2 linked regions of the Schizosaccharomyces pombe genome follow. The gene in region 1 interacts genetically with each later gene. Each region holds a gene or a part of one and is shown in the gene's direction. Other genes may lie near its edges. The genes, in order: hsr1 and ecl2.

Evidence for each region.
Region 2: of hsr1 (region 1) and ecl2, changing one suppresses a phenotype caused by changing the other (phenotypic suppression), as found in Schizosaccharomyces pombe (one study listed by BioGRID).

The regions. Positions count from the first base shown.
Region 1 is NC_003424.3:1,955,222-1,962,046, forward strand, and holds hsr1 (DNA-binding transcription factor Hsr1), read left to right. Parts: upstream 1-2,251; 5' UTR 2,252-4,089; coding exon 4,090-5,838; 3' UTR 5,839-6,325; downstream 6,326-6,825. Other genes in the region: Lid2 complex PHD finger subunit Snt2, read right to left, coding at 6,489-6,825. UniProt on the Schizosaccharomyces pombe protein: Transcription factor that globally supports gene expression in response to hydrogen peroxide.
Region 2 is NC_003423.3:960,336-964,612, reverse strand, and holds ecl2 (protein Ecl2), read left to right. Parts: upstream 1-2,097; coding exon 2,098-2,352; 3' UTR 2,353-3,606; downstream 3,607-4,277. Other genes in the region: SPOM_SPBP35G2.17 (uncharacterized protein), read left to right, coding at 338-658; meiotic dynein intermediate chain Dic1, read left to right, coding at 4,224-4,277.

The DNA.
Region 1 (6,825 bases):
TCTTATACAGATCGGCTAGAAGAAGTTTGAAGCGTGTGTCACCTAATGAAATGGAAAGAAAGTAATTGCCTGTCCAGCGTAGTGTAGTTTATGCTTTCCCTTCGGCAAACATTTCCAATGAATTCAATGGTAATTGTTTGAATTTCCTATGGGATCCCCTCTGTTACTATGTCAGAAAACCTCTACAAAGATATTTGGTATTTCCTCACAACCGCTTCCTTGTTTTCTCTTCGGTCGGTTGAATGTCCCGGAGCAAGTGACACCCATAGTGGTGGTATCGGCGTAGCGTGAGTGAGTTTTCAGATAAACCAAGCACTGGAGCTGAGATCGATCCATAGAATAGCGAGGCGGACGAACAAAACAAATTAATATGCTATTTGATTTGCTTTCTTTGTTTGTAAGGCGATTTATTTTTAACAACTGAAGCTTAGTGCGTGCGTGATACACAATTACAAAGTCATCGTCAGCTTGACCTAGAAGAAAGTTAACAAACAATTTTTTATTAGCAAAGGGAATATATTTTTTTTTTTCGCTTTTTTTTTTTTTTTTTTTTTTTACAATTCTATCAAACAGACGTTATGTAGGCTAAGCTACTTGCCACAAAACCATTCTTGGACAAATGAAACAAAGATAAAAAAAAAAAAAAAACAAGAATAAAACGAATGAAAAATTTTTTTTTCTTTCAATACTTCAAAGAAAAAAATTTACACACACACAGGAGCTAGGTCCTTCTTTTTTTTTTTTTAGGTAATTAATAATAATGCGTTGCGTACCCAAGCAAATCATTCGTAGCCAGCCAATGCAAGCAACTTATGAATGAAGCGCACGATGAGCAATAAGGGTGGGTTAGTATTTATGCCAATGGAGTTAGTGCTTGCGAATTGGATTAAACTGGACTGCATTTTACAATTCATATCTTTGTTATAAAGGTCTGTTAAAAGTTAAAACTACGCATTTCCCTGCTTCCCCCTTGCCCCTCCTTTCATTTACTCTCTCTCCTTAACTGCCGATCCAGTGAATGAAACATGGATTGTCGGTTTTTGAAAGCACTAAGTGTGTGTGTATGTATGGGCAGAAAAAAAGTAGAGAAAACCCCAAGATAGAGCTGAATAAGATGTAAGAATACATTTTGCATTCATCGAGTATGCGGGTCTTATAAAAAATGCACAAAAATACAATTAAAATATAAATCAATTAATTAAATAATTAATTAAATAAATAAAAGAAATAAAAATAATTATAAAATAAATAAGTTTACAAACGAAAAATGGGAGCGAGATTCAATAGCAAAATTTCCTCTTTACCCCCAATGTACGATATCAATCAATATCTTGTCTGATCATCCATCACCACCACCATATGGTAAACAAATAGAATTAGAAAAACCATTGTAGCAGATAATAAAAGTTCTAGTTTTTCATGGTTTATAAAATAAACAAAGAATCATACTTATAACTATGTCTCTCAGTTTGGAATACACATTCCTTATCCTCAAACCATATGCTCCAGTTCTATAGCCTTTTTTTTTTCTTCCTCTTCTTTTTCATTTCTATCTGCCAAGCTACATTGGTTTACGCTTAACTTGAACGTTGTCGCTGCTGCAGCAAGTTTTTTTCTTTCTTATTCACCTTGACCAATAATCATCCTTTATCTCTCCCCTCTCCCCGCCAAAGCATACGGGATTGAATGTAGGTAAAAATTTGCTACACATCCTCTTCACACTCGGATTATCCCGTAGGTTACTTTTAGCAAAAAATTGAAAACTCATCAATAAAATAAAATGAGTTTCTCTTAAACTATTCATCAATCAATAAAGCCGTAAATTTCCATCTTTTTCTTTTTTTTTTGTAACAAAAAACGACCTGCTCTCTGTTTTTTCTACTTTGGCATACCAATTTACAGCACTACAATCTCGATCGCGTCTTTTTTCTAATCTTACATAAACGGTGGAAGTGCTGTCTTCCCAATCGCCACGTGATGAGTGTTACAGTGACATCGGCTTACTCCAACATCATCACATTTCTTTTATGGGAGAACTCGTTGTCAGCGAACCGTCAGTTTTTGCCTCTTGCAGACGTTTGTTGGTTGATATGGTGGATACACACTTGCGTAACATCGCTACGGTATTATCGTGTCGATACGTGTAAACGAAACCGTCGCTTCTTAGATAAGGAACAGATTTCCACATCATTGAAGCGCTAGTCTCAGTTTCCCACATATTAAACTCGCCTCTTCTGGCGTTTCAACGTTTAGTTTTTCTCGTCTAGGAAAAAGGTAGTTTGTCTGTGTACATATATCCCTATATATCTGCATCCACATAAACTTGCTCATCTGTATTATATACACATATACATATACATACAACGTAGTCAAAAGTATAGCGCTTTTTACTACGCCTAGTATATTTTTTGGGGAAGAGTAAAAATAAGTAATTTCTCTTTTCAATCGGTTGAATTTGTAACTGATTTCCCCTTGCTCGTCGGAACCGAGTGTGCCGTTTCCTTTTTCAAGTCATACATACTGCCTTCACACTCGACACACACCCTTTTTTTTCTTTTTTTCTCCAATATTCCTTTTTCTTTTTGCCTACAAAGGAGTAGCTCAGCTAGTGTTTGCAAACCCATCTTACACTATTATCTCTTCTTATATGCTCAATCTTTTTAATTGATATATTGATATATGTGTGCACAATACACACTTTTATAATCGCTCCAGGCTCTCATATACCGAATTGCATCACAAAGGTTACCAGAACATAAATTGATACATTTACCCTTTTCCTTTACAAAGTACAAAAGCCATTCCTTTTTATTATCCTCATTATTCAAAAGTTAAAAATTTCCCCTTAATTTCATTTGTCTTTGTTTCTTAATCCATATTTTTTTGTTGTTGCACATCGTGCTCCTGTGGGTTTGAGGCATTGGTAGTGAAGTAAACGTTTCACTCAAATAGCTTATTTTTTTCCTAATTTATCTTCTTGAATCTTAATTTGGAACTTTCCTTTCGAAATTTTCTTTTTTTCCAATCTATAAGAATCACATTGCTTCTTCGATAGAACGCTTGTTTATTCACAGCATTTTTTCTTTTCCTATCAGCAGATCAAGGCTTTCCTTCTTTTTATTTTCTAATAATTGTACTGTAATTTTTTTTATTCCAGATACATCTTTCCTCTACTGCTTTGATTCTTTCAATTCTTGGATACTTACTACACTTTCGTCTCGTACTATTAACTTTTCTCAGTTCTGCCTCATACTAATTCTGGCTTTTTATCTTTTTTTATAAACATCTAAATAATCATATCTTTTTTGTCTTGATTTTGATGTCTACAGCCTTATAACTCTGTCATACTTGTTCTCTCGTCCTTTTCTTTTTTTTCGATTTGTCGCGTCCCTTATTTATTCCCTTTTTACTCGTCTTTCCGCGACAAATCAATACATTTTCTTTCTTTTTCTTTTATTCCCTTTTTATTCACTCACTAGACATATCTTCTCTTCTTTTTCAGTAAAATTCAAAGAGGAAATCGGTGCTTTCTAAAAATCGATCATACTTTATTCAAGTTTCTAGTGCCATTGAGTTTTACAGACCCTTTAAACGTATTTTTTTTGTGTATTGTTAACATTTTTTACACTTGATTTTCCTGTGTCAATAAACTTGTTGGCTTGCTTGTTATTGTAGACGATCGTTTGTTTCTTTCCGTTTAACTTTTTTGGTCTTGCTCCTTAATCTTTTAAGTTTTGTTCTTCAATTATTTCCGCTTTACTTATATATTTGTCGAACTTATACTTTTCGATCCTTGTATTTCTTGCTGCAAGCTACGTTGTTTGCAGTCAAAAATACCTTTTGTTACGTATCAATTCTATTCTATTTTAAGGCTTACATAATCATTTATTTTTTCGATAGGATCCCCCTTGCAATTGAACTTTTTTTTCGTTCTTAAACTTGCATATTACGAACGCTAAGTGTATAAACAATAAGTTAGCAAGACTATATTCCGTTACCTCTCTTTTTGTCTTTTCTTTAGTTGATTTTTTATTTTTGAAAAGTATTCGCTTACTTTCTTTTTATAATAATTCTTTTATCTTACTTTGTATGGTTTTCTTTCCTGAGGCAATGCCCCTTGTTACTCTTTCTGAACGAATGGTTCCCCAGGTAAACACCAGTCCATTTGCCCCAGCACAATCATCATCTCCCTTACCCTCCAATTCATGTCGTGAATATTCTTTACCCTCACATCCTTCAACTCATAATTCTAGTGTTGCATATGTCGATTCACAAGATAATAAGCCTCCATTGGTTTCTACTCTTCATTTTTCTTTGGCTCCTTCCCTTTCGCCAAGTAGCGCACAATCTCATAATACTGCACTTATAACTGAGCCTTTAACATCCTTTATTGGTGGTACATCTCAATATCCATCTGCTTCCTTTTCCACATCGCAGCACCCTTCGCAAGTCTATAATGATGGCTCTACTTTAAATAGCAACAATACTACTCAACAGTTGAATAACAACAATGGATTCCAACCACCGCCTCAAAATCCTGGTATTTCTAAAAGTCGGATAGCTCAATACCATCAACCTTCTCAAACGTATGATGATACGGTAGATTCTTCATTCTACGATTGGTATAAAGCAGGTGCTCAGCATAATCTTGCCCCACCTCAGAGTTCGCATACCGAAGCTTCACAGGGTTATATGTATTCAACCAATACTGCGCATGATGCGACTGACATTCCCTCTTCATTCAATTTCTATAACACTCAAGCTTCTACGGCTCCCAATCCTCAAGAAATAAATTACCAATGGTCGCATGAGTATCGGCCGCATACCCAATATCAGAATAACTTACTGAGAGCTCAACCCAATGTTAATTGTGAAAACTTTCCTACTACTGTTCCTAATTATCCTTTTCAACAGCCTTCATATAATCCCAATGCTCTCGTGCCTTCATATACTACGTTGGTATCTCAACTTCCACCTTCACCTTGTCTTACTGTTTCAAGCGGACCATTGTCTACGGCTTCCTCTATCCCTTCCAATTGTTCATGTCCGTCCGTTAAATCTTCTGGCCCGTCTTATCATGCTGAACAAGAAGTTAATGTGAATTCATACAATGGTGGTATTCCTTCTACTTCCTATAATGATACCCCTCAGCAGTCAGTTACGGGTTCCTATAATTCTGGAGAGACAATGTCAACGTATTTAAATCAGACAAACACATCGGGTAGATCCCCTAATTCAATGGAAGCTACAGAACAAATAGGGACGATTGGTACTGACGGTTCGATGAAGAGAAGAAAACGTCGACAGCCGTCTAATAGAAAGACTTCAGTACCACGTTCACCAGGTGGTAAATCATTTGTATGCCCTGAGTGCAGCAAAAAGTTTAAACGATCTGAACATTTGAGAAGACATATTCGATCTCTACATACTAGTGAAAAGCCATTTGTTTGTATATGTGGAAAACGTTTTTCTCGTAGAGATAATTTACGGCAGCATGAAAGGTTGCATGTCAACGCAAGCCCTAGATTAGCCTGTTTTTTCCAACCTTCAGGTTATTATTCTTCTGGTGCTCCAGGTGCTCCAGTGCAACCACAAAAACCAATTGAAGATTTAAACAAGATTCCAATTAATCAAGGCATGGATAGCTCTCAGATTGAAAACACTAATTTAATGTTATCTAGTCAAAGGCCTTTGTCTCAACAAATTGTCCCAGAAATCGCTGCTTACCCAAATTCAATTCGTCCAGAACTTCTATCTAAACTACCAGTACAAACACCTAACCAAAAAATGCCTTTAATGAATCCGATGCATCAATATCAACCTTATCCTAGTTCTTAAGCATTTTTATAAATTAACTGCCTAAATTCGGGTTTTTTTTACATTGAACTGTTTTATAAGAATGTTTTCAATTATAATTTTTCATCAGCCTTTTTTCTACCTATTTACATGTTTACTAAATCTATTTTTTACGTTTCAAAATGGCAATTTCATTGTTTACTAGCATATCCTGCTTTGCTATCTTTAGGCTATTATCAAGGCATAACGCCGGATATAATACTTAAAGCTTGAGCGTGTTATATTATGAGGGACTATTTAGCGGTGATTTTTTATCGTTCCAATTTTTTAAAATTTTTTAGTTGTTTATCATAAAGGCTCGGAGCGATAGCTACAAATGATTTTCGTTTTGGGGTTCTTCAAGGAACGGTTTTACAAATCCAATAAACTAATGTACAGTGAAAGATATACTGTTATTTGTTGTTAATATGTACATGAAATAAACTATTTCAATGAATGACTGTTGTGTTTTCGGATGAAAACATATTGATCCTTTTTTTGTGAACATCTTAGCTGGATAAGCTAAAAAGTAAAGCCACTGCAAAGTATCATAAAAGACGTAACGTAAACTCCAAAAAAATAAAATAATAATAATAATAATAATAATAATAACGAATATAAAATTACATGGAGAGTTTATGGCAGAATTTAAATCACTCAACTCTCAAACAATGACAGGCCTGACATATGTTGCCAGGCCACCAGAAAGGACTCATGGTGGAATTACATTTGCTACAGCAGCAAGCGACATTGGTTGGCGCGATAGTCGGCTTACAAACTGCTATAGTATACTGAAGTAAATAGATATATGCCTTAGGGTACAAATTGCGTATATATTCGCTCCAAGCAGAATTATTAGTATTCGGAACAATGTCATTGCGCAACAAAAAGTTCCTAGGCAACTGTTCACTTGGTCCAAAAAGAACAGGCCGCAAAGAAGTCCAGGAATTGATCATGCATTTGTTGGTATTTATTTCTGTTACGTTGCCA
Region 2 (4,277 bases), on another chromosome or scaffold:
CCAAAAGATTCTGATGCGTTTAGCACTATTGTATTCTGCATATAGCAAAGCACATGGATGTATGTAGGATGGATACATGTGGGATGGGTACGTGAAAATGTGGGATAGATGTACCTATGTGGGATGTTTTGCATACCTACAGAGGAAGCACAGGTGGGATCGGATCCAGTAGCTACTACAGTTGGTGATTGTTACTGTTGGCAGAGTGTTGCATCCTAGCTCTTTGCTGAGGAGTTATTGCTTCGTGGCAAACTACAGAGTAACACGTGCTAGATCCCGCGAACGTTAGATTCAAAGATCCCAAACACTTACAACAAGGTTACATGAGTATAAGTAAATGGTACGTGAATTCTACGTTACCGGTCGAGGCAGAAAGTTGCTTCCGACCGTCTTCAGAATCAAGTCATTCCATGGAATTGTAAGACAATGTGTGAAACAACAACGAGATTTCACTTCTTTTTTAGCTAGTTCTCCCGCTATGGGTGTCGCACAAGGACAACAGGTAAAATTAATTTTGATGCTACTCATTGAGACATGGGAAACAAAACATCAATCATGCCACAGTCATTTCATTTTATTAGAATTCACTCATCTTTTTGTACGCAAGTTTTCGCAAATATTTTTCGAGTTCCGGTTGTTTGCTCACCTACTATCATAAATACAATGTATAATCAATAAACGATTCGCACTTTGTCGTTAGAAATCGAAAAAAAATAAATAAATAAATAAATAGATATATAAAAGTAAAACCATTCTCTAATAGTGAAATATATTTATATCTCTATCATGTGTAAATTTTGTTTTATTATTTTTTCTCTTTTTATTTTTACTTCTCTAGTTCTCTATTATTGAATTCCATTTATTTTATTCTATTTTATTATAATTTAAACTAATTTCTTTTTTTTCTCATTCATTCCCAACCGTCAGTTTAATTTTTCATCCCTGCCCTGCACATCTTTATACATGCTATATTTCGACCCCACCTATCGCCTTAAATCTCTCGTTGAAAAAAAGTCATCATCACCATGGTTCTCCATTTTGCTCCGCTACTGACTGCATCGGTGCCTCTTTTTACAGTCCAAAGATGTGCGATCAGCATCATGTTGTTGTGAGCTGGCGTACAACTGTCTTCTCACATGTATTTTTGGGGTTTAAAGGCGGAGAATATGATGCGAAAGGTCGCTTAAAGTGAGTAGAAGAGTATTCGAGAATTAAAATGAAAAAATAAAAAATGTAGTGTGTTTTTACTATTGTATATGACACCCCGGCTGAGCTAGCGTTTGTGTGTGCATTTAGTATGCGAGTTAGTACACACAGTGTTTTTCTCGGTTTCCCACTTCCGACTCAAATCCCCCACATCAGTCGTTCTGCTTTCTTCTCTTGTGTGTTGTAATCAAATTATGAAGAGGTAACATTGTACGCAACTCACGCAATGTATTAGCATATGCAGTCGGTCGGATGTGCATTATGAGATCAAACACAGTGTATGCTGTTTTCTTAACGTATTTTACCGATAGTATGGTATCTCAGGTCAGATCATCTGGACAGATTGCGTGCGCAGTTTTCAGATGTATATATAGAGCGCAGCAGTCCGACTGAGAGGTCGTAGAAGATTAACATATAGATCAGCAAAGGGTTTTTGACTTATACTCGCTGTTCTTGATTGCTTGAACTAAACGAACTGTCCTTCTTAAGTGTCTCTTGTTTTCCTCGACAAACAGTTTCGCTGTGTGATTGAGTAGAACTCACTTTTCCTCGTTTTCTCCATCCTAACCTCTTTTCGTCTTGTTGAATCACCCGCAGGACTCATCTCTTCCTTGAAATTGAGAAGGATTTGTTTTATTTTATTGTGAAGCTAAGTTCTTTTCTTTCTTCTTCCTCTACTAAATCGGAAATATCTTCCAAACGTCCCGTATATTTCGACTTTGAAATTTCTTTTTAGTCCGCTTTATACGCTCATCCGTTTTATCTGGTTTTCTTCAATAGGATCCAATACTAGCTCGCCTCAGCTTGGCTCATTCATTGGTTTTTCCTCGTTAACAAGTCATTTTAATTTTCTTTTTCTAATTTCTTCATCCTTTTGTATTCGTTAGAGACATGGATTTGGATTATTGCATAATTTGCGGAAAACCCACTACTGGCAACTTGTATTGCTCTCGTGAATGTCATCTGCAGGATTGCCCCGGCTGTGGTTCGACTTCGGAGCAGTGTTCTTACTCTAAGTCGGCTGATCTTCATATGTTATCTTCCCAATATTTAGATCATTTCCGAAGAAGGTCTTCCATGCCTTCCCCATCCACTTCGTCTTCTCTTTTGAACGGTTTTGTCGCTTCCAGACTTGCTGTTCTTTAATTTTACCTTACATTGCATTATTCCAACGACGGTGTCGTTGATATACACACATTCATTGCCAACGGCTCAAAAAAATTATATTTCATTTCTCTCTATCTCGGTTTTTTTTTTCATTTTCTCCTGTTTAATCTGGGAAAATTTATTTACTTATTTCTTTATCTTCCGGTTCCATTTTATTTTTTATTTCTCATGGGTACTTATATTTAATTGTGCCTTTTTTTAAACCTATTTTTATTTTATAATTCTTATAACTTGAAGTTTTTTTTTTCAAATTATTATGATACTTAAAAATTTTTATGCCTTTCTTAAATGATGATCACTACACTAACCGTGTGTGAATAGTTGATCATTGATTTTTGCGGTTCATACCGTGTATGTTTCTTAAATTGATAGCCAAGCATCCTTACATACTATCTTAAATTTCCAAATGATGTTGGTGCGTATATTTTGTTTATGCACTTCATTATTTCATGAGTTGTACAACTTAATTCGTTCACGCAATGTTGATGGTATGTTTCCATTACAATGTTTGTTTGGCTTCATTGGGGTTTTTTATGATTTTCTATGATAACGATATTGTATGAGTGGATTTGGTACTCGGACTTTTTCGTCAATTCGTAATGGCATTTTTTATTTCTTTCGAAATACGATGGATATTTTTTACGATTCTTTTATTCTTATGATATGGACTTTTGTTTCGGTGTGTCACGCAACTATTCTTACTTCTTTTCTGCAATCGCATTTTATTTGCACTGTCTAACTGTATTCGAGATTTGTCATTCGTGCTTTTTACATTATGCTCTGGCATCTGGGACAACTTTATGCTGAGTTCTTCTGAGCGCGTATTTTTAAAATACATAGAAGCTCTAGGCTTTCCCTCACTTCATCATTTCTTTTGCATATCAACATTTTGCATTGTCCCATTGGTTTTGAAGCTTTAGAGTTATTTATGTGTGTCGTGCTTTAAGTTCTCAGTTTTTGGCTCATCGTTTACGTGGGATTTTTGCATTAGACAATTTTTAGAGGTTGCGTATCAAACTATTTTATACCCAAGCACTTTGTTTTCTACGAATCGATACGGACATTTAACTGGCATCAGTACTTTAAAAAACGATAAAATATTTATTTTGATGAAATTTATATTGTTATGATAAAAAAAAAGCATAAAAATTGAAAACGCTTTTAAAAATATTCAATTTTATTAAAGTGCTTTGGTTGCTAGAAGAAAAAATAAAATTAAAAAATTAACGTATATCTACTGTGGTTGACATGTAAACGAATTATTTTGTGCGCAAAGGTAATACATAAATACTGGCTGAATAATAAAAGCGCTTTGTACAGCAGTATTAGGTTGAAAGGTTGTTTTACTTTTCTAGTTAAGTGTTCATCTTTATTCAAATGGATCTATTTGGGATGCCAACTAGAGGGCAGGAATTAGCAAAAATAAATTTAATAGTAAGTGCCCACACCAGGAATCGAACCTGGGTCGCATCGGCCACAACGATGAGTCTTAACCACTGGACCATGTGAGCATTTGTTATAAGAGCTCAAAATAGAAATACATATTTAGAAATTTGAAACTAAAAATGAAATTGTTAAATGCAGTAGAACTAAGGTGGATTAAGACTCTAAAAAAAAAATAATAAATAGAAAGAAGTTGTTTGCATAAAGTCAAAGGGTTAAAAAAAATATCATTCTTTGTCGCGTAAACACTTGATTCTGTTGTTCTCGCGTACTTCTTCCCATCAATTTGATTCCAGTAAATTAAACGCGGGCGTCTTCCTTACACATCTCATTTTTTTGTGTGGCTTTTCAAGCTTCAAATCCTTAATAACATATATATATTTGGATTTATACATTAAACGTGTATTATGGACAAAAATATTAAACGAGAAATTGAAATCAAACGAGCAAAGTTGTTATTA